Linked DNA regions of Pelodiscus sinensis. The protein of the gene in region 2 purifies or fractionates together with the protein of the main gene of each other region. This does not show direct contact. Links are inferred from orthologs where the notes say so. Each region holds a gene or a part of one and is shown on either strand. Other genes may lie near its edges.

What was found.
Region 1: the proteins of NUP133 (region 2) and SEC13 purify together in Homo sapiens (affinity purification with mass spectrometry; 4 studies listed by BioGRID and IntAct, counting the BioPlex papers as one, with this or other methods). This does not show direct contact. The link is inferred for Pelodiscus sinensis from reciprocal best matches to the Homo sapiens genes NUP133 and SEC13.
Region 3: the proteins of NUP133 (region 2) and AHCTF1 purify together in Homo sapiens (affinity purification with western blotting; 3 studies listed by BioGRID, with this or other methods). This does not show direct contact. The link is inferred for Pelodiscus sinensis from reciprocal best matches to the Homo sapiens genes NUP133 and AHCTF1.
Region 4: the proteins of NUP133 (region 2) and SEH1L purify together in Homo sapiens (affinity purification with mass spectrometry; 4 studies listed by BioGRID and IntAct, with this or other methods). This does not show direct contact. The link is inferred for Pelodiscus sinensis from reciprocal best matches to the Homo sapiens genes NUP133 and SEH1L.

What each region holds. Positions count from the first base shown.
Region 1 is NC_134721.1:19,785,527-19,793,060, forward strand, and holds the start of SEC13 (protein SEC13 homolog), read right to left. Parts: upstream 3,007-7,534; 5' UTR 2,992-3,006; coding exon 2,944-2,991; intron 811-2,943; coding exon 766-810; intron 1-765. UniProt on the Homo sapiens protein: Functions as a component of the nuclear pore complex (NPC) and the COPII coat. At the endoplasmic reticulum, SEC13 is involved in the biogenesis of COPII-coated vesicles.
Region 2 is NC_134713.1:123,320,177-123,328,145, forward strand, and holds the start of NUP133 (nuclear pore complex protein Nup133), read left to right. Parts: upstream 1-4,969; 5' UTR 4,970-5,044; coding exon 5,045-5,220; intron 5,221-7,051; coding exon 7,052-7,170; intron 7,171-7,969. UniProt on the Homo sapiens protein: Involved in poly(A)+ RNA transport. Involved in nephrogenesis.
Region 3 is NC_134713.1:134,045,727-134,053,724, reverse strand, and holds the start of AHCTF1 (protein ELYS), read left to right. Parts: upstream 1-4,995; 5' UTR 4,996-5,245; intron 5,246-5,413; exon of another isoform or gene 5,414-6,399; intron 6,400-7,998. UniProt on the Homo sapiens protein: Required for the assembly of a functional nuclear pore complex (NPC) on the surface of chromosomes as nuclei form at the end of mitosis. May initiate NPC assembly by binding to chromatin and recruiting the Nup107-160 subcomplex of the NPC.
Region 4 is NC_134712.1:87,661,203-87,669,135, forward strand, and holds the start of SEH1L (nucleoporin SEH1), read left to right. Parts: upstream 1-4,925; 5' UTR 4,926-5,082; coding exon 5,083-5,193; intron 5,194-7,933. UniProt on the Homo sapiens protein: Component of the Nup107-160 subcomplex of the nuclear pore complex (NPC). The Nup107-160 subcomplex is required for the assembly of a functional NPC.

The DNA.
Region 1 (7,534 bases), on a different chromosome or scaffold from region 2:
AATAGCTATTTCATATTTCTCTGACAGGTATATCACCCCACTACAGTAAAAATAAATAGTGCCTAAAAGTTAGAGCAATGGATAGAAAGATGGTACTCTGAGGCTCCATTCTCTGCCACTGATGCTGTAGCCCTGTGCAAAGCTACTTAATTGCCCCATTCTTAGCTTCCCTCTTTATAAAATAATATTTTTTTTAAATGCTGGCCTACCATACCCATGTACTCAGGCTTCATTAATCAATGTTTGTAAGTCACTTTGACATCCTTTCATATAAAGCACCAAGGAAGCGTACTTACTGAGAGAAGATGCTGTTCTTTGGGGTGGAAGACTCACATGCTGAAGTGTTATATTCCTTTTCTAAGTATACATGCACACACTACTCTCTCAATTTCATTCTTCTGTGTTCTCCAAGCAACAGCCTACGTTCTTAGGGGTTTTTTTGTTTATTTGTTTCACAGTAGCAAGTCCCAGACATCAGAATGAGAGCTCTAAATTGTTTCTCCTTCAGCCAACTCCAAACTGAGTCTTTTGCTTTCTTCCACCCAGAGCTGTAACATCCCCATACCTCCTTGTGCCTACCACCTACACACACAAGCTGTAACTAGAAGGTGCTGTATAGATAAACTCATTGAAGTAATCGGAATTGCACAGGTAACTGACAGCTGAATTTTCCCCATTACCACAATTTAAAAAAAAAATCAAAATAATTTTTCTTCAGTAAAGCAAAACTCTCAGCTTTTTTTTTTTTTTTAAATAAATACTTACAATCATATCTTCATGAGAAGTGTCCACAGTGTTAATTACTGATACCTGAGGGGGAAAAAAAATCACTTACATTTAGTACAAATGCCAACAGGGAGACTGAAACTGAAGTTTACTCAGAGACTATTTTATATTAAAATACTCAGGTAAGATGTTTTCCTCTAAGCTACACTAAGGATGTAACCCATTTCCATTCAATAAAAACTTCATCTCAGGTCAATCTTAGTTTACCTTTGCAATGTTATATTTAAGGTGGAGAAAGTACCTTTGCTTTCGTTCTGGGTTTTGGTAAGTGTGAATTTAACAGTGGCTTGCCCTCCATGGAAAATAATATCCTTTTTATTTATGGACACGATAGAGCCCAGGCTGTGGCAATGCAAGCTTCCCCACATTACCTTACCAATTCTTTGTGTCTCTGTCCTGGTCTAGAAGGGGAGGAAAGACAGTTTGATCTCCCTGACTAGTGTTTGCTGAGGCTATGAACAAGCGTGTCTCAGTGCCAAGAATTTGGAAACTGGACTGAAACCAAACTCATTTCACAGGAGCCACCTGTACAGCCATCTGTAGCCAGACACACCAACCCCCCATATCATCCATCTTATTTGCCTCTCTGAAGCATACAGGGCAGAGAAGGAGCAGTAAAATCAGCATAGTCTATGCTGGCTCATCTGATCCTGAGAAGCTGAAAAAACAGATATGTGGAGAGAGAGAGCAATTAAGTCAATAAGCTGGCCTCGAGGCTGCGAGAACTGCCCCAGCTGGCACCCATGTTGATTCGAACACACACACAGTCCCTGGGAGAGGAATTTCCCACTGAGAAAAGAATCCCCCAGTAATTCCAATTTAGTTATCTCTCTTACAAGTGTAAATTAAGTTCACAACTCCCTTGTAAGAATTGGTCTCACAAAAGGGAGACCAGCACTATTTGGCATCACAGATAAAAAAAGAGAAATACGTGACCCAAAATGGGTATAAAAGATGGGTTCAGCACACACTCACTTTGAGTGTCATTCTACCCTCTACCTGCTGGTCAGGTTAGGTGTTTGACCTCCCGAGGTTCTATAGGGACGCCCACCTCGTATTTTCATCTTTCCTAGGAATTGAGGGACCGGCCCTGGCCTGACATGCTGGAGTCGAGACGCACAGAAGGGGGTAAAAATTGTACCTGGATGTGGTCCTCTGTCTTAAGTGTACACATAGAAAGAGTAAGCTGTTACTTGGTACCATTATTTCTATTTTTCTATCTATCTTCTTTGTAACCATTTTTAAGATCTATATTTTGCTAGCAGTTAAGAAATAGAACAATAGCCATTGCAACCATATGATTTATAAGCTTCCTCAATAAACCTGTAACTGTTTAAGCTTTAACCTGACTCCTTCAGTTGCTGTAACAGAACCAAGCACAATTTAAAAGAACTTCAGCCGGTCTAAAGGGACAGTTATAGGAAGAGCTTGGGCGTTTGGATCTGTGTCACTCCCAGGTGACAGGGTCCACTGGGGCACTTCTCAGCCTTTCCTGGGCTGCCCGCTGTGAAGGAACTTCCCCCCTCTCCCGTGTTCTAGCAGCTAAAATCTGAAGTGTAATAAGCTCTTCCTACACACTGGGACGTCTGTTAGCCTGTTTGGCTACCCTCTGCGACGGGACCTCGGTCCTAGCAGTAAAGTCACGGACGTTAAACTCTCGGGGCTCCTTTCAGCCTTCTGGGCTGCCCGCTGCGACGAGACTTCGTGTCTTAGCAGCTAAAGACTTAGGAGACACACCCACACACACTGCCCTGACCGTCTGCTGACACCATCAGAGCCCAGTGATTTCAGCTCCTTAGTCAGACTGGACAGTGTAGCAATGCTGAAGTAAAGGTCATCCCTTGAAACACTCAGTATCCCTAATATATGTTGAGGATGAAGGACAAAAGGATACCTTCACCAGACATTCAAAATCCGGGACTTCCTCCACATTCTGACTTCATTTACCTGGCACTGCTCACTTCAAAATGCCAGTGTCCTGTTTTGGTTGGCAGGGTCTGCTTTTTGTATCTATTCTGCATCTTGCTAACAGTCCCTTTGTGAGAAAGCAACAAGACCACTAGGCAGCATCTAAAATAAGTTACCAGAGCTCCAGAATTTTCACTCCAGTTTAGACAAACAGGCCATAAATAAATCACTTCACTGCTCAGTACTTACCTGTAAAGTACCTCCAATCTGTGAAACAGGGATAAGGATACCAAACATCCCTAGGATGTAGAGTGCTATATAAAAGCATGTCTACAGCTGTAATGTTTCAGTGAAGACATGATTATTCCAATAGGCAAGATGCTACTATCGATGGAGTTTATCCACCTCAGGCTGTGGCTAGACTGCAGGGTTTTTTCGAAAAAAGTAGCCTTTTTTTGAAAAAACTTCACCTGCGTCTAGACTACAGCCACATTCTTTCGAAATTAAATCGAAAGAACGTGGCTTTTCTTTCGATGGGGGTAATCCTCATTTCATGAGGTATAATGCCTTTTTTCGAACGTGTTTTTTCGAAAAAAGGTGTTCTTGAATGCAAACAGGGTTTTTGAGAAACAGAGCATCCAGACTGCTTGAGTGCTCTCTTTCGAAAAAGTGGCTCACTTTTTCGAAAGAAGAGATTGCAGTCTAGACGCTCTCTTTCGAAAGAGGCTTTTTCGAAAGATTCTTTCGAAAAAGTCTCTTTTGAAAGAGGCGTGAAGTCTGAGGTAGACATAGCCTCAGTGATAGGCAGTAGCTATGTCATTGCGAGAAGCCCTCCTGCCAATAGAGCGCTCGCTACACAGGGGGGCTGGGTCAGTATAACAACCTCATTCAGGTTGGACTTTCCACCCCTTAAGCAACTTAATTATAATCAATATGAGTTGATAATGCAGCGCAAGCCCCAGGTGTACAGCAGGCAGTATCCATATCAAGGAAAGCCCAGCGTGGTGGTTAAAGTTCACGGATCTTCTAAGTAGGCACTAGGCTGTGGTGCAGCCCAAAGCTGCAGCTGGGGCTACGCTCCTGCTGCCTCTTCTAAGATGTGTTTGTCCATCTCCAGCCTACACTCTACTCCCCCCCCGCTTTTTTATTAGTGGCCGATCACACGGGGGATGCCCAGGAGCACGGGGCTTGGAGCCCTCACCTGGCCAGGGCCCTGCCGCGGGAAGCTCGCGAGCCTACCACAGGCCGGGAAGTGAGGGGCCCGCCCGCCCTCCGGGTCAGCGAGAAAGCGGCGAGACCCCCCAGGGAGGGCGGCGAGAAAGGCCCGTCCCGGGGGGGGGGGGCAAGGCAGGGGCTTGGAAGGAACCTGATCGCGCCCCTGAGACGCTGTGTCCCTCCCCGGTGGGAAGGAGCCGCTCGCGGGGCCTTACCATGGCGGCGGCGGGGCGGGCCGGGCTCGTGCGGCTGCTACCGGCGGCTCAGACGTGGCAAGTCCCGGCCGGGTTCGCGGTGCGGCGATGAAATCGCCCCGGTTGGGAACATGCGCCCCACGCTCTTCTTCCCGTCACGCCAAAGTTCCGCCCGCCGCTCGGGCCCAGCTCCCCGCCCAGAGCCGCCTCAGGCCCCGCGCCGCTCAGCCTGTGCTGCTGCCCAGCCCCCGCGGCGAGCTGCGCTGCTCCGGCCTGCCCTGCTTCTTCGCGGCGGGCCCTGTGGGTGCCCCAGCACGGCGCATCCAAATACCGAAGGTGGAGCACCCACAGGGCCGCCGCTATCAAAGAACTGCAGTTACTGCAGAGGGTGCGTGACCCTCTCTTCTCTCCAGCCTGGCGAGCATTCACCTCTCTCAGATGAAGTGATGAAACAAAAGGAAGGGGAGTTTTACTTACTCCCTAAAACGTCAGTCACAACGGCCCTAAACTTCCCCTGGACCCCATAGACTATCGCAGTGTTTCTCAAACTGTGCTCCACGGAGCCCCAGGGCTCCTCAAGACATCTCCAGGGTCTCCCCGAGGTTGACAAACTGGAAACAGGGATAGGTACAACACAGAATCAGTGGGCTGCTGGGGCTCCGCATACATTTTTACACATGTAAAGGGATCCGGAGCCCAAAAAGTTTGAGAACCACGGACCATAGTGTCTCCTGCTGCTAGATTTCCCACTTTCCCCAGATTAAGGGATTGCCTTCCAAATCACCCAGGCTACAGAAGCCAAAAAAACCCAAACAAAACCAAGCCCCCCAGGTAATACCTAGATGTAGGGTTGCCAGGTGTCCGGTATTCTACCAGACAGTCTGGTATTTGCACTCTTTGTCCGGTAAAAAAAATCAGATTCTCTGATTTTTCCAGCTGCGCACCGGACGGAAGCCTGGCAGGGGCGGGGGGAGCGGCTGGAAAGTGGGGCCACGATCAGCGGTAGGAGCCTGTGATTGCGCAGAAGCCTGGAAGGGGCAGGGTGTGTGGCTGGGACTCCCAGCCACTCCCCCCGCCCCTGCCAGGCTTCTGCACAATCACAGGGGCCCAACGCCCATGGTGGCCCCGCCTCCTAGCCTGGGAGTCCCAGCTAGGAGGCAGGACAGCGATCACCCCTCTGGGCACTTCAGAAGCCTAGCCAGGACGGGGGGAGTGTCTGGAACTCCCAGCCACTCCCCCTGCCCCCGCAAGGCTTCTGAAGTGCCCAGAGCATTACCAGGTGGGGAGTCCCCAGCTGGGAGGCGGAGCCGCGATCGCACTTCAGAAGAGTTCTGGGAGTCCCAGCCACTCCCCCCACCCCAGCTAGGCTTCTGAAGCGCCCAAATCGATGATCGTAGCCCCGCCTCCTAGCTGGGACTCCCAGGCTGGGAGGCGGGGCCGCCATCGGCACTGGGAGCCTGTGATTGCGCAGAAGCCTGGCAGGGGTGGAGGGAGTGGCTGGGAGTCTGCTCCCCGCCAGGCTTCTGTGCAATCACAGGTTCCCAGTGCCGATCGTGGCCCCGCCTCCCAGCCTGTGAGTCCCAGCTGGGAGGCGGGGTTGCGATCGCTGCTTATCCCGCATTCCTTTTTTTTTTTGCTCGACCAAAAAATACCTGGCGTCCGGTATTTTTTGGGAGACCATCTGGCAACCCTACCTAGATGGATGGCAACCCTACAACAGGGAGTTGTTCCTGATTAATAGTGTGGACACTGAGCCTGAAACAAGAATGCCTGCTTTGGTTTAGCTGAACCATAGCACAGTTAATTGGGAACAACTTCACATGTGGATAAGGCCTAAACTACTGGTTTTGCTGTCCTATCATTAACTTAATGGCTAAGTCTACATTAGCATTTTACTGCACTGTAAGTTTCTGGCTCAAGGGTGTGGAAACCCCCTCTAACCAGTGTAGCAAGTTATAGAGCTGTAAAGGGCCAGGGTAAGTCAGGCTATAGCGGGAGTTGTTAGCTATTCCAGTCATGGTGGTGGTTTACCAAGAGCACTGGGAGAGCTCTCTCCCAACACCCCTGCCATGATCACACTGACTGCTGTGTTACAACACTTCCACTGTTGCTCTTTAAACTTTTAAGTGTAGACCATGCCAATGTCTTTGAGAGAACAGCACTAGGAGGTTAGAGCTGGCATTAACAGGTGAGTAATACACAGAATAGTGCACAGGGTACAACCATGTTGTTAAATAGGCCAAAATTTCAACTGAAACAGCCTCAAACTTGGTGGAAGTTAACATCTGGCTAAAACTATAGTGGTTTGGGATTATCTTTGTAACCCCAGTTCCAAACACTGCTAAACTTTGGCCAGCACGCACTAGTCTTTCTAATACTACTGGTTGAGAGCCATGGCAATGGTATTGGGGTTACATCAAGGAAAACAGACCCCTGACTTCCAATTTTGCAAATAACTGTTAAAAGTATCTTCCAGTTGTTAGGAAACCATTGTTAGTATCTAAAAGGTTAGTCTGTCAAAACTGCTACCTGCAATGAATGTTCCAGTCCTGTAGTGAGCTTCTATGCAGCCACATAGAGCTCATAGCTGGAGTAGAGTTTATGGGAGGAAAAGTCTCCTGGATTCTAAATACACTTAGGTTACGTCTAGACTGTCATGATTTTCTGCAAATGCTTTTGACGGAAAAGTTTTCCGTTTAAAGCATTTGCGGAAAAGAGTGTCTAAATTGGCACAGACACTTTTCCGCAAAAGCACTTTTTGTGGAAAAGCGTCCGTGCCAATCTAGACGCGCTTTTCCGCAGAAAAAGCCCCTATTGCCATTTTCGCGATCGGGGCTTTTTTGCACAAAACAAATCTGAGCTGTCTACACTGGCCCTTTTGCGCAAAAGCTTTGCACAAAAGGACTTTTGCCTGAACGGGAGCAGCATAGTATTTCCGCAAGAAGCACTGATTTCAGACAGTAGGAAGTCAGTGTTCTTGCAGAAATTCAAGCGGCCACTGTAAATAGCTGGCAAGTTTTTCCACAAAAGCAGCTGATTTTGTGGAAAAACTTGCCAGTCTAGACGCAGCCTTAAAGTCTGCTGGTCCCTAAACAAGAGTTTTGCCTTTTTGCATCTCAAACCAATCAATAAAAGGAATTTCCGTGGCCATTGTGTACAGAATAATTGCATATGTGAAACCCTAGATGGCCACAGACTTGTTATGGTATAACAACAAAATTTTAATCATAATCTGTAACTTCAAAAGGCTCAAAGTATTGCAATAAAGAGGAGGGCAATAATATATAACAACTTCCCTTGTAAAAAATGTTACTGAACATCTAATGCCAAAAATATATACATAAGAGAAGAAATAACTGTAGAGGAAAGTAGTAGTCATAACAGAAATCTTGTGGAGGAGGGAGAATGTTTTGAGATATCAGTTATGAAGG
Region 2 (7,969 bases):
GATGCTTGGGGTCTGTTGTTATAAGTATCTACCCATGGAGATGCAGCTTAAATGATCTCTTCATCTCTCCAAATCAATTTTAATCCTACTGGGTAGCTTCAATCCTATTACGTTTTTAAACACTATAAGTAGTAGCAGATTTTTCTAATGTGGGAGAATTATTAATATAATGGAAAAGATGGGAGAAAAAACAATAGCTTTGCTGATTTGCAACCTAATTTCTTTGAAGGTATGTTTGAAGAATACTAGCAATGATTTTGTGAAAAGTGTGACTGATGCAAACCAGCTGTTAGCAAGGTATACATTTTAAAAAGTGATATGAAAAAATGCCTTTAAAACCCTTTAATTTTCTCTCGTTAACTGAGTAACAGATTGTTAAAAATCCCCAGACAATTCAATTTTACTCTCCCTAGGGTAGATGTTGTGAGTGTACTTTCCCCAAATCTGTATTCTTCATACAAAGTAGTGTAGTTAAATGTCTGCTTTGAATGGAAAAGTTAAATGTCCTAATATGTACTGCATATCCATTTTTTCTATAACTTCGCTTTCCTTATTTCTAATGTCATCAAGATGAAGGGTGAGTAAAACAGCACATTGTTGTGCAACAGTTATCATCAGGCCAAAAATAAATAACATGCCCTCAGTAAAGGGTATTTTAGAAGTATGGCGTGTTTCACTGGATTATTAGTTTGCCTCCCTCTGAAACAGTAGCTTGTATCTTCGGAGGCTTTCTTAGCAAGTAGTCATGGGTGCCTAATTTTCACTGCAATGAACTGATTTAGTTATTTGTAATTTTCACTGAAATTAGTGTATTTAGTTACCGTTGTCTGCTGCTGCTATGTATGCCTTATAAACCATTACACTGATTTCCAAAGCAACTATTTTGATGCATCCTGGGAATTATCTAAAGGACTTGGGTGTTTTGGGGGAGGATTAGTTTGGGGAAAATCATATATGGAGCCCATGTAAGAAAAGGTGGATCATTCCTGTGGCAGATCTGATAAATGCCACGATTAGAGATGCAATACTGGATTGGATGAGGGACTATTTATGCCATTAAGCTCCAGAGGGGTAGCTGAGTTAGTCTGTAACAGGAAAAACTTAAAAAACAAGTAGTCTAGTAGCACCTTAAAGACTAACAAAACACGTAGATGGTATCATGAGATTTTGTGGGCACAACCCACTTCTTCAGAATGATTTGCCTAGCCACTCAGGTCAAATTTGATGTGTTGCAGGTTACCCTAGTTACGTGGGAGTGAGGGATAGGTACTTTTATTTGATTTGTCCCCCGCCCCCCCATTTATTTACAAGGAACATACAAAGGCCTATTTCCCCAAGGAAGACACAAGAGGCAGGGTTTTCTGTTTACTTTCCCAAGCCTCTTTAGTCAGCCTCCTTCCTAGGTTTTTCTCAGTCATGGATGCACCAGGCAATTGCCTGTTCTGCACAACCATCCCCTTAGTCAGTAATCCCTCAGTCTTGCTTCTTCCAACTGTTGGCAGCCTTGGTTAGATTTGTTCAGCAATAGGTGACCTGGGCTAGTAAGTGGGCTGCATGAGTGGTCCCAGTAGGCCGCAAGATAGTCATAGCAAAACTACACTATTTTGGGAGAACATTTTGGTTAACTGCCCGTATGTACCTAGAATTTGCAGGATGTGCTGACTGAACTGTAGCAGTGCTTTGATTGGATGCAGAGGGAGCGCACAAAGCACAATAGTAGATCTTTGCCCAGCAGTAAAAGCTACATTTGGATGACAGTATAACTGATTGAAAATGTACTGGAAAAAGCAAAGACTTCCGTTCACAAGTTGATTAATTAAGGCACTTCTATTGATTAAGAGGACAAGAAGTGTTTGTTAAGGCAGCTGCACAAATAAATGGATTTGATTCTTACAGATCTACAACTGCAATTTCTGGATTCTACTCAACCTCTATGTAGCTTTTATAGATGCCTGTCTTATAAAACAAACAGTCGAATGGAGTGAGGCACTACCAGCAATGGATTTGCTATGTGATAAGGACAGAATAGAGAATTTGAACACAGAATGAAATATCAAATGATGAATGAATGAAGGATTGATTCAATTTCTTCATCATAACTAAGGATTTGACACAATCTTTGTGGTATGTTTCCTGGATGAAGGAAGTAGGAATTCATCTTTTGTGCCTCTTGGTCACAACAGTTAGTGTTGAACACAGGCTCTAACTTCGTGGGTGCTCCAGACCCGGAAAAAAAATAGCAGGTTTAGTTTTGTGTTTGCTGTATCAAGTCCTGGAGTGTGTTTTCCGGTAGACATATGTACGTGCTTATTTTGATTAAGTTCCTTATAAGAACTTCATATTCTATCACTGCAGTCCTACAGGACAGTGAAAACAGCGTTTGCACCAGGTGCAATATATTTTGAAAGTTAAGTGGCTCAGTGGTTAAAAGTTGTATTAAATATGCCTGTGTTTTAAAATTGGAGTTCTGTTAAGCTTCATATCCAAAAAGCAAACATGACTTGCACAAGCCCCATTTCTGAGTATCTTTGGAGCATACCAAGTCCAAAACTTTTGAAACAAGCCTACTCACCAGAACTGTGTCCTTGAGTATCTGAAAGCATGACAGCCTGCAGCTCCCAATGAATGGAGACAGAGAAGGGTGTTCAGTGGAGAGCTTCTGTATTAGGACACTGGTCATTAGCCTGAATGACAGCTTAGCTTTCATAGTTTTGGAATAACATTTTTGCATTGTTGGGGTTTTGCTATTTTGAGAAGGAGCGCACTCCCATACACAGAATTCATCCAAGTTAGATAGGACAGACATACAATCAGGGTGGGTATATAGATAGGGTACTTACCTGAGTCCTTCATCAACATCATATTTGTGCTTGTGGTCCATTGGTCCGGTCAGACCTTTGGCATCTGGAAAAGGTAAAAACAATGCATCAGATCTCTCTTTCACCTGTATGAGTGTGTGTTTGTGTACTGTAGTTGTTCAGTATCTTTAATCCTCCCTTCCTTCCTACCCTACTCTTCCTACCTCCCGCCTCCAGTAAATAAACCGATAGTTGTAGTAACATCAGTGTGTGCTCCTTTTTCTTATTAGGTTAAGCTTTGAAAGATGAGCTTTCCAAAAAAAGTCTCTGAGAGAAAGACTGTTAACTCTTTGCAATCTTCTGAGGGACAAAGTCCTGAATTTGAGAACAAAAAGAAAATTTAAAAGTGTCAGCTCTGCCTAAGAATCTCAGGCTCTGTTTGACCTGCCTCTTTCTTTTTAAAGATAGAACTGATTAGGCTCCATAGGCTCTTCTCTTTTTAGGCATTACTTAGCCCATAATGTGCTAGGGCATAGCTTTGGCAAACACTGGCACTAATTAAGCACTGTGGGTGATCCCCTTGGTCAGGACAAACTAAGAACAGTTTCGCTGCCCGTTACTCAAATAAGAATAACATTTAATTACTCCCACATTCAAGCAAAATGCAGGACAATGTAGCACTTTAAAGACTAACAAGATGGTTTATTAGATGATGAGCTTTCGTGGGCCAGACCCACTTCCTCAGATCAAATAGTGGAAGAAAATAGTCACCACTATTCTTCCACTATTTGATCTGAGGAAGTGGGTCTGGCCCACGAAAGCTCATCATCTAATAAACCATCTTGTTAGTCTTTAAAGTGCTACATTGTCCTGCATTTTGCTTCAGCTACCGCAGACTAACACGGCTACATTTCTATCACTATCCCACATTCAAGTGATTTATAGCCAAGATTGATCACTTGGGCAACACAGGTCTGTCTGCTGGATACCTAGGCAGAGTAGGTATGTTTATGTCAACAAAGTCTGATCTGGAAGCCTTTCCCTCATGCGTCCCTGCTCATTACTGGCTGTCAGGGGAAAGCTCATTCCCACCTTATTTACAAATCGTATTTTGCAATTATTAGGTTGGCCAACATCACTGAAAGGAATCCACTGAAACTGGCATAAAACACAGCTGTATGTGCCTTCTTTCAATTTTAAGTAAATTTCCAACAAACTAAATGGGGAGCCCTGCATGTTACCAGTTGACCACTGGATGAATGATGGGGAAATTCAGGGAGTTGGGGGGGTAGGGAAATCTCTGTTTTTTTTTTCTTTTCACTGGGAATGAAAGGGGGATGGCCTGACACCAGGGCAGGTCCTAGCCCAAATGATGCTCCACGCAAGGAGTGTCTTCAGCCCCCCACCTTCATTTGTTAAACTTTTGAATAACTTATGTTTTATTGGCTTGGTAGCTTATTCCATAAGTTTGATGCATGATCATGTATGATGACAAAGGTGCACCAGAGGTTCTGTCCACATAGTTCTCAGAAAGTCTGCAAGGTTCCACGATTTTCTACAAAAGGTCCAAAACGCTCTTAGCGGTCAGTGAGAAATGAATCCAGGGAGGGAATACCTGAAACATGATACTTCCGACATCCTAGTCTCCCTTTTGCTGTTAAGAAAAGAAAAAAAGCCCCCGCCCAGCACCTGCCCCTAAAGCTGCCCTGCCTAACACCAAAGTTTAAGCCAAGCCCCAGAGTAAGACGCTGATGGACTGAGCTCGTGTGAGCGGACACACTCCAACGCCGCCCAGCCCGCTCCTTTCTGCTGAGACGGCCCCCGGCGCCGAGGGCTGTGCAGCAGGAGAGGGCGGCTGGGGCTGCCCCAGCCAGAGTTCCGCTCCCCGACATGTCACGTGGGCTCCCCCCGCGCTGCAGTCACCGCCACTGGCCCGCGTGGTGCAGAAGCCAGGCTGTGCCAGCCGCCCCCTGCCCCGCTCCGCTCAGGGGCTGGATCCTGCAGCGCGAGCCACCCCGCCGTTCCGGGCCCCCGCCTTCCTCCCTAGAGCAGGAGGCGCGCGCCTGCGTCCCAGCTGACCCCGCCCTGTCTCGGGGCCGGGAGTGTGACGTAGGCAGCTGCGACGCCCGGAGCGGAGCGTGCAGCTCCTGTACGTCAGCGGCGCGCGCGCGAGGCCTCGGCGGTTGATCGTTCAGGCGCTGCTGGGTTCGCGCCGCTTCCTCGCCCCCCCCCCCCCGCCGCCCACCATGTTCCCTGCCGCCCCCGGCTCCCCGCGCACCCCGGGCGGATCGGCCCGCAGGACCCTCGGGCCCGCCGCCGTCTCCATCCCCCGGCCGGGCGGCAGGAAGAGCCTGGTGCCGGCGGCCGCTTCCCCGGGGCTCTTCTCCCCGGCGGGGAGGCGGAGCGGCTCCCTCTCGGCGCGGTGAGTGCCCCGCGGGGCCTTAGCGCCCCACACCGCGCGGGGGGGGGGGTAAAGCGGAAACTGATGCGGGGGGCACTTAAAAACCGCCCCCCCCCGGCTCCGCGGAGTCACCCCTCCCCCGGCTGTTGGGGATGGATCAGTGTTATCGATTAACCCGTAAGCAAAAGCTTTCAGGTTAGTGCTACAGACCACACGACCCCCCCTCCCCCCCACACGACCCCCCCTCCCCCCCCAGTAAACTGTTTAGCAGCCTGGCCAGCAGCCCAGCACGCGCTGGTTCCCCTGCTGCGGCTCTGCCTTTAAAGTGCATTAGGAGCCAGGCGGGCAGCCTGGCTCGGTTCTGTCTTGTGCCGCATCCGTGAGCTCAGACCCCCCTGTTCCCGACGGGCTGCTGCCACGCTGAGCTGCTGCCTCTGTATCAGAGACAGCAGCATGGGGCAGCAGGCATCTGGTCCATGAGGGGAGCTGTTTATTAAACTGGCTTCCCTTGTGGACTAGCTCCCGCCTGGCACCCAGCACTGCTGCCTATGCTACAGAGGCAGCAGCACAGAGTGGCAGGCGGCTCCCTGGGAGAGGGGCTGGAGCACCCTGGCTGTTGGCCTTACCCCCGGGAGCTATAGAATAGTCAAGTAATCAATAAGAATTCATTCGGTTAATTGGCTATTCAGTTAACTGATATTTAACATCTTTACTCTGTATCCGAGTCAGCAGGCTGCAGGTGGGAACTGGTCTGCGTGGGGAGCCAATTTTTAGACCAACTCTACCTGCCACCTCACATCCCTGCCTCTGATACAGAGGCAGCAGCAATACAGGGTGTCGGGGTTAACCATTCACATCCCTAGTTCCAGCCCGTATCAACAAACTTCTTTTCTTTTTCCCAAAATTAGTTTTAAACTTCTAATAGCAGTAATAGCTGCACCTGGCATTGGTCAACTGCTCTCTTACCCAACAGGACAGATAATACTATCTTTATTATTATCTAAAAGGCTCACAAACAAAGGATTTTTGTCTTCTAAAACTTTTTCCAGCTAAAGAGAAAGGGAACAAATAACGTTGAAATGAAAATCTTGTTGAATGCATTACAGGCAGTCCCCGGGTTACATGGATCCGACTTACATCGGATCCCTACTTACAAACGGGGTGAGGCAACCCCACACTAGCAGCTTCCCCCCAGTAGACCAGGGAGACGCGAAGCTAGCACCCCCCCCCCCCGCCCCCCCAGCAGACCAGGGAGACGCGGAGCGGCTTTTCTCAGCAGACACCTCAGCTTGAGAATAAAGGACTGAGGGAAGTGAGGTGTGGGAGAATAAAACTGAGCTCTGGAGAAATGTTTCGCTAGAGTTTCCCCTACTATATATACCAGTTCCGACTTACATACAAATTCAACTTAAGAACAAACCTGCAGTCCCTATCTTGTACGTAACCCGGGGACTGCCTGTACATTTCAAATGTTTTAACTCTTTTCTTTCTTTTCTATGTCTTTAATAAAAAGTTGAAAAGACTTTGTGATGCATATTGTGGTACTAAACAGGCTGAAGTCACTGTATGCCAAACCCGAAACTTTGTTTTTAATATTTTATTGTTGGATTGTCACTGGTTTATGTTAACACCTTTGGCCCATTATTCCATTCAAATTAATATAAGAAGGGAAACCTCCTTTAGTGACTTGAATGTTAGCTCCTAAAGATATGCACTTGTGCCTGTTTTTCACAAACTTGGCCATTCAATCAAGTATCTTTTAAATAATTGAAAATGAAATAAGTATATCTTAAAATTGCAGGAGACATAATGGAAACAAATCAATCACAGTTTATGTGTATATTTTTTTTAGAGCAACACCCACAAGAGTATTACAACATCCTTCAGCCAGTGAAACTATCAACTATGACGTTAAGACTTTTGGATCCTCTCTCCCTGTTAAGGTTATGGAGGCCCTAAGAATGGCTGAAGGTAAGGAATGATTACATGGGAATTAGATCAGATAAAGGAAATACGGTAATCTCTTTATACTTTTAAATAGATATTTTTGAGCAAGGAGGAGGAGAAGAGAACACCTTTTTAATTGTATATAAGAAGTCTCTTGCTAGAGCATTTATAAGCTTCAAAACACGTAAGACTGTAATTGTTCATGATCAGAACAATTCAGTTATTTTCTTTCAAATGTCAGTCATCTGGATATCAATTCAGTACTGGACTTTTTGTGAAAAGCAAAACTATTTAATTATATTTGGAGAGTACTGTACAGACCAAGCACAACAAAAACAGTCAAAATTAAGGTTGCTGATCCATATATTCAGTTGTTTAAATATTGCCACTCACAGTTTTAGGTAAGCTTAAGAAAGAAATGTTTAGGCCACTGGTAACAGTCATTTACAAAGTCTTAAGTTAAAAAAGAACAACCATCCTTACTTTTTCCTTGTTTTGCACTTCATGTTTGATATCAATTGTGCTGAAAAGGTGCATTGCACAGGTCTGTATTTTTATATGTAATAGGAATGTATCCATTGATCCAGATTCTTTAATTTCAAAACAATCTACGATATATTTGAGAGCGTTTGTGCATGAGTCTGTCTCTCTATTTAAGAATTCTTCCTAAACGGTAAGAACTAGTCCAAATTTGTATGCAGCTTCCACTTATCATATCTTAAACCAAGGTAAGGGTTTGGTTGTTCCAGGGACACGGGCTGTACCCAGAATGGGATTGCTTCTCATAAAACCATATAGACAAGAGAGAATCACAAGGCAGGTG
Region 3 (7,998 bases), about 11 Mb from region 2:
GGTCAGGTTTATGTAAAGAATGGATAGGGTCAGGGAGAGTCAAGTCCATGAGCCTGCTCTATGCATTTTCCCAGTACCCCATCTCAGTTGCCCCAGTAGTACAATTGGAAGCTTTTTATGCATTGATGCCCAAATTGGCACGTAGCTGTACAGACTTTACTTAGCCCAGCTGTCACAGCTTTTAATCTACCCATGAGGAACCCTTGACACATGTCTGCCTCTCTCATACCACAGACTCATTACAATCACTTGGATTGTTGCATGCAAATTAGCTGTTGAGAAGCATATTAATTGACTGAATCAGTTTTCTGGCTCTGTTTAATAGTTGCATGTGTGCCTGGCCTCAGTCTGTCTGTGTAACTTTCCTAATAAAAAACTGAATACAGCAATCAACAACTTACCATATTCACAACCTAATTTCTTCAAATACAGCCACACACAAGATTTCAATTCACTTGGGCTACATGAATAGTTTGAAGTATCTGTGTTATTTTCTTAACATCAGTTGGAACAAAATCAATACAGACATATATGCTACATTTCTTTAAACTAATTTTAAGCGATAAATTAATTTGCTTTCTAATTCCAAGAACATTCCTTCTTTACACAAAAAGTACAAGGTGTATGGGGAGAATACACAAAAAATAAAGAGATTGTATGGATCCCTGTATTGAGTGCCAAATGAAACATGCTTAGCCATGGAATCCTTATCCATGCCTCAATAGGGCTCAATGTTTATAATTTAGAAATTCGCATTTATTAATGGTTGAAGCAGTGTGTGATTATTTAATTAGATAATGTATCATAAGCATGCAGTTGGGAGTAGGATTAAGGTTGCACTTTCAGCCTTATCTTTGGGATTTTCTGTGTGGTGGTGGTTTTTTTTTTGTTTTTGTTTTTTTTGTGACTGCTTACTAGTGCAACCTTACTGTTGTGCCACCTTAGTTATATTATTTCTTACCCACTTTTCAGGAGAAAAAAAAAAGTAGAAATGTCTTTGATCTGTAGCATTATGCTACAATTTCAGGTGGACTATTCTGGGAGAGGTAGAGAGGCGAGTTTGGTAACTCGTTTTTACTTAGTATGACTGTTATATAGAATTCATTAATAAACTCAAGATACTTCTGGGATAACTGTACACTTCACCCCTTCTGGTCTCTTCGAGTGCACCACCTCTTGGGAATAAATCAATGCATGTTTCCATTCTCTGTCAGGCTAGGTATTGGGTGGCCAGTCTCTGTATACCAACTGTGATCATCTTAGAAGTTCTGACTTTCTTCTTAAACTCTGCAGTCTATACCCTACATTGGCTGTAACAGTGGTAATCTGTAACTAAACAGCTTCCTTAAGGTGAAGTATTTAGCTATAACACACAGATTTAAGAGAAAAAAGTTATTAAAACCAATAAACCAGCTTTGCATGCCCCCAATGCTTACCATTCCATATCTGGTAGATCTCAGTATTGCAAAACAAGGCTGACCATAGGGTCTTGGAAGAAATCACTGTGGTCCTTCTAATGTGTACACAGGTGACTTTATCTGGAAAGACTTTGTATGCTCTTCCCCATTCCCTTTTAGTTAGATCAATACATTCAAACAGGAAAGTATTATAAATCCAATATAAGTTATACAGTCTCAATAACCAGATTACATATCAATTTAGATTTTTGTGTATCACTTCCTTTTTTGTCATGCTTCCTGATCTGAAATAAATATAAATTAAACTCAGTGTGGAAGAAGTCCAGGGAGAAAGCACAGGGCTGAAAATCAGAGAAGCTACATTCTGATTCCATTTGTGCTGCTGTTATATAGCACTTTGTGATCTATAAATAAACACTCTATAAATGCTAAGTATTTAATATTCTAGTGGGAACTCAAGCTGCACCACTTTTCACCCAGGTTTATTCTTTGATAAATCACAGAGGCAATGGTACAAATGCTTTAAAATTATTTGTAAAAAATCTCCTCACAAAGCACACTTACAGAGGGTGGGGAGTGGGGAAAGAAGGCAAAAAAAGCGAATATGTGTTAAATGCAAGGAAGCATCAAAGATTTCCATATTCTTCTTGCAAGAATTGATAATAGCGAATTCAAATGTATTCAATTTAAACTGACAAAAGATACGCTAGAGAGGATAATGGGCATAGTTACCTGGTGCTCATTTACATAATGTGCAGTTTATTATCCCTACTGAAACAATATAAATGGAAAAACACTGGAACACGAGAAACCAACAAGATGGCTGTCATTCAGACATACCTTAATTACAGAGTGCAAACACAGCTCTTTTACACAAAACTGTAAAAGTGTTCTTTCTTTGGGTGGCAAAAAACAAAGCTGACCTAACTCACTTCGGCGTACAGCCACTACAGTAATTACATCGCTAGTTTATCGTTTCTTGTGTCAGCAGTACTCATCCTCACCAGGAGTGCTTGTATTGACTGTACTGTCAGTGTGAGACATTGTGGGATGGCTCCTGAAAGCCAGTAACATTCAACATAAGCAACACGGTGTCTCTGCTGATAGCATCAAATTATCTACATTGACCTTGACTTTACACTGCACATGGTTGTAGAATTAAATCAGCATAGCAGTGCCCAAATCCCTGCAGAACTGCCATCTGCCTCTAATTCTGCAGGTTCCTAAAAATCACTAGTCACCCACAGTTTCAGTCTCTGAGCATGCACACAATGCCACTGGCAGGTGTCCAGACACCTGTCTCATACCTAAGCCCCAAGGTGATCCTCAGATGAAGTGAAAATCCCTGTGAGAGCCATGTGCTCCCTCTGCATAAAATCAAAGCACAGCTATGGTTCAATCAGCACACAAATTCTAGCAAGCGTAGTTAGCAAAACTACCCTATCCTGGGAGACCATTTGGGTTGCAACAATCTTGCGGCCCGCTGAGATGAAGGAGGGTCACTGATGTGGCCTACTCACTAGCTTAGGTTGCCCTTGCTGCTGGAGAACCCAGGTTTGAGAACTAGCTATAACTGAGTCTTATTTAAATATTTTTGGTTGTTAGCAAACTTGCAGTTAGGTCTGTAAAACTATTTTTGACATTAAAATGCAAAAATCTAACATTTTAACCTCCTGCACTTACCACACATATTGTTAGATTAACGTAAGTTTTTAAAACATTAAATCAGAATTTGCAAAAATGTATCTTACTTTTGCTAGCTAGAATATGACAAGAAAGGGAGCCTATAGCAAGTTCCATAGGCAATGCCCTGTTGAGATCATAAGATCCCCTTGAATGGAAAAATCTCACCTGTATTACAGAGCTGACAGGGATGCATTTGCTTCTTCTGACATGTCAGATCTAAAAATAACCTGGACTGGGTGTGCATACCCAAAAGGGGGAATTTTTAATAGTTAGCTTTTGGGGGACTGTTTTGTGTTTAAACATTTTTTTTTCATTTATAAATCTCTGTTTAACACATCTAGGGCTTAAACATCTATAAAAATAATGATGCTTTCCTGAAGAGGAAAAGACCAGAACATTTTATCCAAAACAGGATAGACTGGATTCACCATCTCTTGAAGTATGTAAATCAGAAGTGGAGTCTTTCTAAAGGATTTGCTGTAACTCAGTGAGATGTAATGCACTTAATGCAGGAATTACTGAGCAAAATTTCCTAGATTGTGTCACGCAGGAGGTCAGACAGGAACATCATAATGGTCCCCTTCTTCCCTTAAAATACATGTCTGTGACAATACCTTTCTACAAGAAGAAATAAAAAAGGCTTTGTTTTGAGTGACACCACCTGCACCACTTTGCCATTTGAAAAATATGTAAGAAGTATGTTAACCTTAGTCCATTCCATATTTTCAGCACAATGGATTACCAGCATGTTTTAAAATCAGGAAAATAATATATTTTCTTTAAAGGAGTCTGAATGACGGTAAGCACTGTCAGCTTTGGGGCTGATGGAGTGAGATCCTATTCTTTTGCATGTCAGCCATAGTATCTCCATAATGAAGTAGTGTCAATCTTGAGGGATAGGAAATTACTAAAAAGCTTGAAGTGAGAAACACATGCCCAGCCTGTGTTCCTAGCTGTTGAAGAAAGGGAGGGTACTGAGATTCTTTCTGAGTTGCTTTTTCAGGGCACTATGGGTACTGCATCCTGTTGTAATCCTATGGTTAGTAGGTTCCTAATACATTTGAAGTACCATGCCCAGTGAGATACTTAATGAAGGGAGCTGTAAGGCACTTTAACTTCAATTGCTAACCTCCTAAAGGCTGCAATGGGAGGAGGATCTTTGCTACACAATCCCTTCCTTTCCTTTTTTTTAAGGGGGCTCCTCCTCTGTGTCTGCCTCTGTTGTTGCCCAAGTCATCTCCTGGACCTAAGCTAAGCAGCAACGTCATGAAACCACCTTTTGCTATTACAATGATTTTGTGGCCACAATAAGGGCTGTGCATGTATTTGATTTAATTTTAAAATTTTAATTCTGCAGACAGTGGTAGTGTATGTGTGCTCTCATTGTAATTTAGATATGGTCAAGCTGAGTTCAGGAAGTTAACATCAAAGCACGGGAAAAAAAAGAAAAAAACTGAAATCCAACAACTGTTGTCTGCCAGAGGTTTCTGGAAGAGGCTTTTCTGAACAAATAAGCCCTCCCTGATGTGTTCCCTAGGCCAGACACTGAATGCTTGTGCCAGTGAGAGAGAGACTAGGTGTGAAAAGAAAGGAAAAGAAAAAGAAAGGCAAGAGGAAGAGGAGAAAAATACAACAGGAAGGAAGACAGGCTTCAAGTTTCTGCAGGGGTGGCCACAGAACAGCACTTCCTGACAGAAGGGATGAGCAACTCGGTAGTTCTGAAGAGACTACACTTCCCGGCATGCACAGCTTTGCGGGCGACTGGAACCCGCCGGGCAGTGGATGGAGCGGTGCATGCTGGTACTTGTAGTTCTGCGCCTGTTGCGTTCCGACTCCCCTCCCGCTCCTCCCCCTCAGGGCCGCTTGAGCCTGGGGAAAGGTTGCGAATTTGAAAATTCCCGCGGTAGTGGCGGCGGCGGCGGCTGCTCTCGCGAGATCGGATTCCCCCCCTCCCTTCACAGCGGCGAGCGTGGGGGGGGCTGGGTTGCTGCGCAGACACCGAGTGCGGCGGAGCTTGGCAGGCCCGGGAGAGGCAGGCGACCGCCTTAACCGCCGCGGCGAGATGCCGCCGCCCTGACCGGCACGGGGGAGAGGAGACGGGCCGGGCGGGAGGCAGGCGGCGGTGACACCCGCCCCAGCAGGTACTAGCGGGAGGGGCCGCAGCCACCCCTCGCCTAGGCCGGCTCCGCACCGGGGGGGCGCCGGACCCAGGCCGGAGGGCGGGCAAGGAGCGGTCGGGGGCAGCCGCTGGGAGCCCGGCGGGGGTGGGGGAGCCGGCTCCTTATGTAAGTGACCTCGGGCCGCGCAGCCGCCGCCGCACATGGCGGTGCCTGGTGCCTGAGCGAGCGAGCGGCCGCAGCCCGCGCCCCGTGCAGCCCGGGGGCGGGAGGGTCACTCGGTGCCGCCCCGCCTGCGCTTAGGCCCGGGCAGAGCACATGGTGCCGAGGGATCGCAGCCCCGGGGCAGCAGCAGCAGCGCGAGCTGGGCTCCTCCCTGGTGCTCACACTGCTTCCCCTTCCCCCCGTGTGCCGCATCAGACTGTATCCAAGGGGCTCTTTGGACAGAAGAAAATAACCCGAAGTTTTAGGGAGTGGGCGAGGAGGGGAAGGTTCGCACGTGAAATCGGAGACCCTCCAAGAATGTAGGGTTGTTCTGGTGATGTTCCCGTGCATGTTTGGCTTTTGGTCTACATCGTGTGTCTCCACAGAGTTGGTGCAACTTTCTAATGCCTGCAGTTGGGTGCATGGTTTTTAAGAGTATGTATCCATTGGTAGGGTACAAAGTTGCTGATTGTAATGGTGGTAAACAGACCAAAATTTCACTTCTGCTTTTCATAAGCTATAGGTAAATCATAAAATCAGAACTTCCATCAGTAAGAAAAAATACTTTTAAACCTTTGCTGTCTGATAATTTTTCTAACACAAAAGCCAGAAGGTGCTGTGAAAATTGGGCTCTGCAGCAAGGGCTGGAATCAGAATTCAAGTAAGGCTGGTTGTCTGATAGGGAGGGGAAGGGATGGTTTAATGTAGTGTTTCTCAACCTGTGGTAGGAGTACCCTGAGGTACTCCAGAAATTGAAATTTGGAGAAAACTGAATTTTTCTTTTAAGTTTTACAGAGCTTATAATTTTCGTGCTTTTTACACCCAAAAATTTCTTCACCCGCCTGGCTATAATTAAGTTATTTAAACACATGTTTTGCAATGGTAGAAAAAAATGCTGAGGTGGGAGATTGAAGCTAATGCAGAAGCTTGGTTGGCTGATTGTAAGGATGGAGAAGACTTGCTCTTGATTCTCAGTAAGTAATGGGTAACAGCAATAGTGAATTAGGTCTGATGATTCATATATTTGTCTATAGGCAAGCTTTCTTTTGCCAGTGGCTTTATTACAGTGATGTTTAGTTTCTATACTAAATATCAAGGTTACCATTCAAAACTTCCTGGGACCCGCCTAGGCGGGTTTGTTCTGAGTACAGGCAGGGATGAGCTTTCCAACTGCTACCACCAGTAAATCATAAGCTTATTTATTTCTTTTTATAAGAGGATATGACAGAATTGCCAGCTCATTGATCATGTGCTTAAAGTTTCCTCTCTTCCTAATGTCCCTCTAGGATTCATCAAATATTTCCTGGTTTAAAAAGAAAAAGCCATAGAACTGGATACCACTGAAAAATAGTTTTGTAATGGTTTTCTTTATGTAATATAAATTGTGAAGGATGGTGTTTTCCAAAGTGAACTTGCTATTTTCTCTCATTTCCCTTTCTTCAGACTCTTCTTATTTCTCCCCATATACTAGAGTTTTACACATACTTTTTACTGTTAGTAAGCCATATCTTAACCGCCCATTACTCCCGCCCTAAGATTGATGAGTAATAACTGTTGCCTCCCTAAGTACGAACTGTTATGTCCCCTGCTCCCTGGATCAGCATCAGTTGGGAGCTGCAGTGCCTCGAATTGTTTTAACAGATTTTTTTCTGTGGCTGATTGAAATATTGACAGGTTCCAGAAAAAATTGTTTATCCTTGTCCAGTGTGATAGTTGCTGTAATGTTGAGATTTTGAGTAAATGAAGAAAGTAGAAATAGAATATCTTGGATGATGTCTTTTCTCCCCGCTGTGTTAGTCCTCATAGCAAAAGAGCATGTTGAGGATTCCCCTTATGTGTATGTCTCTGAGCCCTTTCTTTGACTTGTTCTGCAGTAGGCATGTTGCATTGACTTTCTCCAAAATAGCCCATGATATTCCTAGACCTGAAGTATGTCCTATAAGGGAAAATTGGTTGATGTGTAAGCTGCAAAAATTATTGTTTTGGAGCAGCAGGAAGCTGGAAACTCAAGTTCTGGCTTACTCAGGTAGTAGGGCAGTCCTGTGGCAGACTCTCCTGTTGGCTGCCTGTTTTTTTGTAGCCAGGAACATTCTACTGTCATGCTTACAGGGCTAGCTGTACCTCTGCCTATCTGATGTGTCTGAATGCTGTCCCAAACACCCATCCCGAAGTATCTGATTTTATGTCTTTACCTCTCCTGGGTTGGAGTTCTGTAGTTTTCACACTTGGTCCGAGGCTATAGTACAGTATTTACCATGTGTACCCAGCAGGTCTGACTGGCTCCCTTACTCCACCAGCCCTCTGAACACTTCCTGTTCTTCACTTTGGATTTTGGAAACCAGGATGAGTGTAATCACCAGATAGCCTTCTTAAACTAAAGTATTTTTGAATCTTAATTATAGGAACAAAGCATAAGAGAAAAAAGGATTTTTAAAATGTTCCACATGCACGTGTTACCTAAAAGCTGCCAATAATAGGCCAGGTAGTTCTAGCTTCATGTACTTCAGAGTGTGTCTATTTCAATAGCTCCCAAACAACTGCCACCCACTAGAGAAAATCAGTTTTATCCATCC
Region 4 (7,933 bases), on a different chromosome or scaffold from region 2:
ATAAATTCTAATACTTTTAGAGGAGAAGTTTTAGGACTTATTAGCTCAGATAAAGCTACTAATTCATCATACAATTCTACTCCATCACTGTCAGCATAGTTATCAGTACTGAGTGCTAAATGTAGGTCCTGGCAGTGCTTCATGAGATCTTCTTTAGAAAACTGATTTTTAATATTTCCAATATCGTATAAAAATTCAAAAGTTTCACAAAGACTATGCAACTGATCGAATCTTTCTTCATGAAGGGGGCTCAGACCCATTTCAGTGGCATTTAGGAATTAACAAACATTATCAGGAGTAAGGAATGGCTGCAATACGAGGAAAGATTAATAAGACTGGGGCTACGTCTACACTGGCCCCTTTTCCGGAAGGGGCATGTAAATTTCACCAGTCGTCGTAGGGAAATCCGCGGGGGATTTAAATATCCCCCGCGGCATTTAAATAAAAATGTCCGCCGCTTTTTTCCGGCTTTTAAAAAAGCCGGAAAAGAGCGTCTACACTGGCCCCGATCCTCCGGAAAAAGTGCCCTTTTCCGGAGGGTCTTATTCCTACTTATTCCTACATTTTATTTAAATGCCGCGGGGGATATTTAAATCCCCCGCGGATTTCCCTACGACGACTGGTGAAATTTACATGCCCCTTCCGGAAAAGGTGCCAGTGTAGACGTAGCCTGGGACTTTTCATCATGGAAAAGAGACAACTAAGAGTGTAGGGATAACATATTAATGTATTGAAAATGATTCCCCCAAATGGAAGTGACTCCCCATAATTTATTCCCCACAACTTAAAGTGTTTAGATTTATTATTAATTCTTCTTCTTCTTCTTCTTATTTGTTAAGATTGTTAAATGTTTAGATTTATTATTATTATTGCCCCTTTAGAATATAATGTATTAGGTCATGTAACTTAGAACTGTTAAGAATATAATCCTATATAGCCAGAAACAGCCCCCCCCCCCGTCCCCCCCCCCCCCCCCCCCCCCCGTCCCAGGGCATGCTCAAGCTTGTGCAAGGGAGCTGCTTGAAATTGACATTGCAGAGATACATTGGAACAATGCATTGTCAAGCCACTAACTCTGCTATGGAAGCCAAGCCCTGTAATTGACTAAGGGCATTGTTACATAATTGACGCCTGTTCTCTTTAAAACATTGTAACTTTACTCAGCACTCAGAGACTGTTTTAATCAATACCACCCAGAAACTTTTGTAACTACAACTTTTATTATTATACAAAATACTGTATAGGAAACATTAATTAGGGAATGTATGTAAGAGAGAGAGTGCTTGTATGATGAATGAATGGTTCTGAGAGGTGCCAGCCTGAGAATACAGCAACAAAGGGCTGAAGAAGGCATCAGGTGCCAGTGCAACCAAAAGGTGTCAAGTGGAGAAAACCAAGTACTGGAGGTCCACCCGATGAGATCACTGACGAGCACCTGGCAGCCACCCTGAAGACATCAGCATGATGCAGCAATTTCCATAGACTGGCATAGGAAGAAATTCCTATAAGAACTGGACTAAAAAACTATGGAATCAGAGTCCAAGGTTCTGCTGCCAGCCTACCAGGAGCTTCAGATACGCATCTGATCAGGACTTTGCTCCCCACTACCATCACTTGTGTACAGAATACCTGGCCAGTATTCTGTCACAAGCAACTCCCAGGCTGGTAACTATAACAAATACACAGAACCTGAATGAATGGATGAATGAATGTTTATATGTATAAGGGTTAAGTAGTTAAACAATGTTGTTTGCTTCTATCTTTTCTTTATTTTTTTATTATTATCTTTACAATAAATGTGGATTTTTGCCTTATCCCCCTCATAAGATCCTGCTTGCTTTTATTTGGTATTACAAGAGGGGGAAATGAAAGAGGTCTATAAAATCAAGACTGCTGTGGAGAAAGTTAATAAAGAACTTATTTACTTGTTCCCATGACACAAGAGCTAGAGGTCACCAAATGAAATGAATAGGTAGCAGGTTTAAAACCAACAAAGTATTTCTTTCCTTAATGCACCGTCAGCTTGTGGAACTACTAGCCAGAGGATGTTGTGAAGACTAGGACTTTAACAGAGTTCAAAATTGAGGTAGATAAGTTCATAAAGGAAAAGTCCATTAATGGCTATTAGCCAGGATGGGTAGGAATGGTGGCTCTAGCCTCTGTTTGTCAGAAGCTGGGAATGGGTGACAGGGGGTGGTTCACTTCATGATTACCTGTTCTGTTCATTCCCTGTGGAGCACCTGGGATTGGCCCCTGTCAAAAGACAGGATACTGGGCTAGATGGACATTTGAGTTGACCCAGTATAGTAATTATTATGGTCTTATATTAACTTTGAGGATTTGGATCTGGGGAGGAGGGGACAAAGATTTATCTCTTCATGTATACTTGCACCATGCTTAGTACAGCAGGGTCCTGATCTCAGTTGCAGCCTGAAATGAGGGCAATGTTCAAAGACTGGATATTCCCCTAGGGTAGAATGAAGAGCAAACAGGTCATAAGTTCACCTCCAGTCTGGCACCAGCTTGTCAGTGTGAACTGACACTTGGTCAAGCAGATCCGGCTTGAGCCATTCCTGTGCCCCGGGCAGCAGGCGCGTGACACATGCATGGCTCTGCCCCAGGTGCATGGCGCATGCGCGGCCCTGCCCCCTGGCGCGCTGCACACCTTACAGCTGCAATCGGGCACATGGCCCGGCTAGCCCCCCCCTTAATCCGGCCCTGACAGGCACCTCCAGATGCAGTACCAGCACCTCCAGTCAGAACTCAACAACTTTTCCCCTGGAGTACCGGCAACTTTTTTTTTTTTTTTAGAAAAAAAGCATTGCGTGAGAAAGGTTTCAGGAGTTTGCCACCTCCTCCTCTGTGGTGGGGAGTAGGGGAGTGTCTTCCTTCCTGGTAAAACTTAAAATAACAACAAATAGTCTGGTAGCATTTTAAAGACTAATAAAACATGTAGATGGTATCATGAGCTTTCGTGGGCACAGCCCGCTTCTTCAGATGACCAGCTTCCTGGTGTGAACCATAAAGCCTTAAAGAAGGTAAATTAAAAAAATCCAACTCTGCAGTATTGCTTTTTAACAGAGTCTTGGTCAACTTAATGTTAATTTGAATGTTTGTACAATTAACTGCTGTTAAGCTTGCTAGAATAAGTAATTTTTCCAGGTGTCCTGGATTCAGTACAGGGAAATCTGGACAACCTAGTAAGGGGCCACCAGTCCCTTTACATACAGACAATTACTGCAGAGTATAAAGCCTTTGGGAGCCAGGCCACTGAGATGAATGAGGTGAGTGAGGGAAGACTGAAAGAACTGGGCTTTTTTAGTTTAGAAAAGAGAAGACTGAGGCTACATCTAGACTACACAGTTTTTCTGTATCCTGGAAAAACTGTTCCGCATCCAGGGAACGTGTTTGATCTTCCGCTTTTTCTGCAGAAGAGCAAATGCACTCTTTCAGAAGCCCCGGTATTGCTCGTTCCACAAGGAATAAGGGGGCTTCCGAAAGAGGGTTTTCCCCCCAACATTTGGCCCAGTCTAGACGTGCCAAATGTCAGAAAAGCCTCTTCCAACAAAAGAATCAGAAAAAAGCTACACAAAATGCAGAGCTCATTTTGCGTAGCTTTTTCAAAAAAAAAAAAAAAAAAGCGGCAGTGTAGACCTAGACAAAAAAAACCCACAACAAATGGTCTGGTAGCACTTTATAGACAAACAAAACATGTCGATGGTATCATGAGCTTTTGTGGGCACAGCCCCCTTCTTCAGATAACCGGAGTTATGAGTGGGCTATGTCCACGAAAGCTCATGATACCATCGACATGTTTTGTTAGTCTATAAAATGCTACCAGACACTGGCGTGCATATGGGGTATGCCGGGTGTGTGCAGGCACACCCTAATGTCTTTAGTTGCCAGGTGTCCGGTTTTCTACCAGACAGTCTGGTTTTTTGGGGCTCTGTCCAGTAAAAAAAAATCCAGAAAATACCAGACATGGCTGGTATTTTCTGGTTTTCCGACTGGGCATCCGGAAGCCTGGTGGAGGGAGTGGCTGGGAGGCGGGGCGCGATCGGTGCTGGGAGCCTGGTTGCATGTGAGGAGGAGGGGCAGCCCGGTCTGCGTTCCTGCGCGCTGGTCAAGCGCGTGGTGGAGCCACAGCCGGACTGACTCGTGCTTCACCTGGACTGTGCAGGGGGCAGGAGCGCCCTGGGATCTGCACTTCCTGGGTCAGTCCTGCTCCCCACCCGCTGATATGTTCCTCCCCCCGCCCTGCTCCCTCCTGGCTGGCCAATTGGTTCTCCCTCACTTCTCCTCCCAATCTTCCCCTGCCAGCCCCGTTGCACCCGCCGCCAGCCCTGCTTCCAATGGCCAGTTCTCCCCTCTTCTTCTGATCTCTCCGGACCAGGCCCTCTGTACCCAACCCCCGCCCCCAGCTCTACCTCCTGCTGGCTGGTTCCTCCTCCCGATCTTCCCCGGCCAGCCCCGCTGCACCCATTTTAAAAAAATTAAGTTTAGTTGTTTAGTTTCTTTAGTTTGTTTGATGAATAAAAATAATGTCCTTTATGATTGAGTCTTCAATAAATGTTCGCCTTTAAAAGAAACAGAATTCCCTGGGCGCACACCCTAATGCAATGTGCTGCGCACACATGCCTATGCTACCAGATCATTTCTTGTTGTTTTTTCTGTAACAGACTAACTGGGCTCTCCCCTGCAGCTCCGAGACCTAGACAGTGCTTTGTCCTGCCATGCGGGCGGGGCTGGACTAGATGGTCTCTAAAGGTCCCTTCCAGTTCCATGGCCCTACGAGACCCTTTGGAAGGTCGCTTGGGCTGGAGGCGGCGCATCAGCCCCGAGAAGAGCCGCGCAGCAGGAGGCGGGGCCACTTGGCGCTCCCTTCAGAGTCTCCAGCGCTCGCGGCCGCAGCCACCCCCGCGCGGCGCGTGACGCCTGGGCTCGCCCCCTGGCGGAGCGCGAGGGAAGCGCCGCTGGCACGCACGCGCCGCCCGCTCTCCTGGAACGCCGGGCGGGCAGGCGGGCGGGCTCTGTCCCGGGCGGCGGCGGCGGCGGGGGAGCGAGGCGCGGCCCGGCCGGGGGATGTTCGTGGCGCGCAGCATCGCGGCCGATCACCGCGACCTCATCCACGATGTCTCCTTCGACTTCCACGGGCGGCGCATGGCGACCTGCTCCAGCGACCAGAGCGTCAAGGTGCGCGGGGCTGGGCGGCCCCTTCCCCGCCGGGACGCGCCTGCCCAGCCGCTCGCTGCCGGGGAGGGCCCGGGGAGGGCGGGCGGGGCTGCGATGTCCCGCGCCAGCCTGGGCTCGCCGGGGCGGGGTGACCCGCGCGTCCAGCCGAGCCGCGCGCCAGGCCCAGGCGGCGGGAATGTCTCCCGGGCCCCCGGCTGGGGCGCCGAGGAGCCACCGCGACTGGGCCGCCGCGCGTCCCCCGGTGCGGCGAGGAGATCGCCGCCGCCTTGGGCCGGGCCTGCTCGCCGAGCCTCGCTCTGGCCTCCCTGGGCAGCAAGTGCCCCCAGCGTGCGCGTGTTGCGCGTTTCCTGGCAGCCCCCTCAGCGCCGCGGGGCAGGGGCGGCAGCCAGCCAGCCTTTCCCCCCTGCCACGTGTGTCGGCGGCCTGCTGGCTAGCGAGCCCGCCGTCCTGTTCAAAGCCCTGCAGGGAGCAAGGGTGAGAGACTGCGGGCAAAAGAAACGTCGTGCTGGAGCACCTTACCGGAGACGCTGGAGTGTTACCTGGCAGGAGGATCAGAGTTGGATTATGTAATTTGCACATATTTAAAAATACTCTTTTCATATAGGGATGTCACAGTGTAGACAAGTGAATGGTAATCAATTATCCTGGGTTTAGTGGTTAAAATTGTCGACTACACCTATTTCCTCCCGATGCCTCTTAAGTCAGCTCCCCGTGACCACCAGATCTGCCTGCCCAGCACCCACATTGCCTTCTCTGATAGAGGCAGTAGTATGGGGGGAAGGGGCAGGTGGGAGCTAGTACACATGGGGAGCTTTCAAGCAGGCTCCCCATGCATATTGGCTCCTGCAGACTTGTCCCCCCCCCCCACCTCCCCCCGTGTGCCTCCTACAGTGGCAGTGGAGGGGAGGCAGGCAGGAGCTGGTGCTGCGGAGAGCTGGCTTAAAGCTGGTTCCATCCAGCACTAGCTCCCTGGTGCCCTCTCCTCCCCCACCCCCAGCCACTAGAGGCAGCAGGGGTGGGGGAGGCAGAGGAAGCTGACACGAAGCAGCCTCTGTCTTCAGTGGCCGAACTCTCTGCAGATAGAGGCGGCTCCATATCACACAGAGCAGCTGCAGTCTGCGGTAAGCCTGGATCTGCTGTGGACAGAGGGTGTTCTGAGAGAGCCATTTCTGTCTGCTGGGGGTCTTGAGTTCCCCACAGACAGACTGCTCTGCATCCCATGGAACAGCCTCTGTCCATGGGGAGCTCTGCTCCTTTGGGGACAGGGGCTGCAGCTGCTCCTTGCTGCTGCCTCTGACATAGAGGCAGCAGCATGAGGAGGCAGGAGCTTCCCCGAGAATGTGGCTGGGAGTGTATTGGCTTCGCCCGCCCACCCTCCCATGGTTTTCCAAATAGACCCCTGGGGACTCTCGAATAGTCCTGTAACCACTAAGATTTCATGTGGTTACATGGCTATTCAATTACACGATACCTAACATTTGTACTTTAATATTTAATTCGCTGTTTCCTCCCTCAGTGAGTATTAAAATCATGGCAAATTGGGAATATATAGTATTGGCTGCTTTTAAGTTATATGAAGCTAATTAAAGGCTGGTCAAAGTCTTGAAGTCATGTTTTTGTAGCTTTCCTTTTACTCAAAAATAACTGGATTAATTTATCTCAAACTTAAACAACTATGGTCTGAGAACAAGTTTGTAAAAATTATCCGTGAAGGTAATGTGCTTGGGAAGGTTATGGGTGACTGTTAAAGGGGGGGGGGGGAAGTATGCTTCAAAATAGAGCTTTAGTTCCAGTGTTCGTTGCCTGAACTCTATAATGTAACTTTGCATTAGAGATGCAAATGGTTACCTGGTAAGCATTCCTTAATGTGGGGGTGGGGAACCTTTTTTGGGTCTGGGGTCACTGAACCACAGAAAAATCAGTCAGGGAGAGGGGGGCTGCACACAATTGGGGAGGACACAAAAAAAACCCCACACTGATGTGGCCCCTGACTGAGAAGGAGAAAGATACTCCTTATGTTCCCCTCACACACCAGAGCCTAGAGGGGCCTAGCCTAATAGATTTTGTGTGCTCCAGCCCTGCAGTGAGGTAGCAGGGGTGGAGGAGGGGGGCTGGAGCACCAGCATCAGCTCCCAATGATGGGGGGTGGCGCTGAGCGGGGGGGGGGGGGGGGGGGCCTAGATCCAGTCAAGCCGAGGGCCGCATGTGGTCCTCAGGCCTGAAGTTCTCCACTCTTGCCTTAATGGGTGTCAGGGAGCTGCCTGAAGGGCTGGTGTGTGTGGCCAGGGTGGCGGGTGGGGGCAAGCGGGAGAGAATGGCAGCAGGATGGCTACTGGCTCCCAGCCCACCCAGGGTTGTGGGCTGTGAGTTGGCAGGTTCGTGGGGGAAGCGCTGCCAGCTCCTAGCCCTGTGTGCTGTCAGTGGGCAGGCTTGTGGGGGAAGAGGGTGCTGCCAGCCAGCAGTTCGACTCGAGCTGGGAGCCAGCAGTCTCATCTTTTCTCCCCCACCCCATCTTCTGTCCCATCTCCTTGCACGAGGCTGCCAGATCCCAGCCCATGGGAGCCTAGCGGCCTGGAACAGCCCCCACCCACACCCGTTTAATCAGTTAATCTGTCAAACTTAATGTCTAACCAGTTAACTAATTAAATGGGATTGTATATCCCTACTTTGCATTTTAAAAAGTACCTTTTTATCAGAGAACCTTGAAAAGATTTATATGTATAATGCCTCCCAGTGCTTC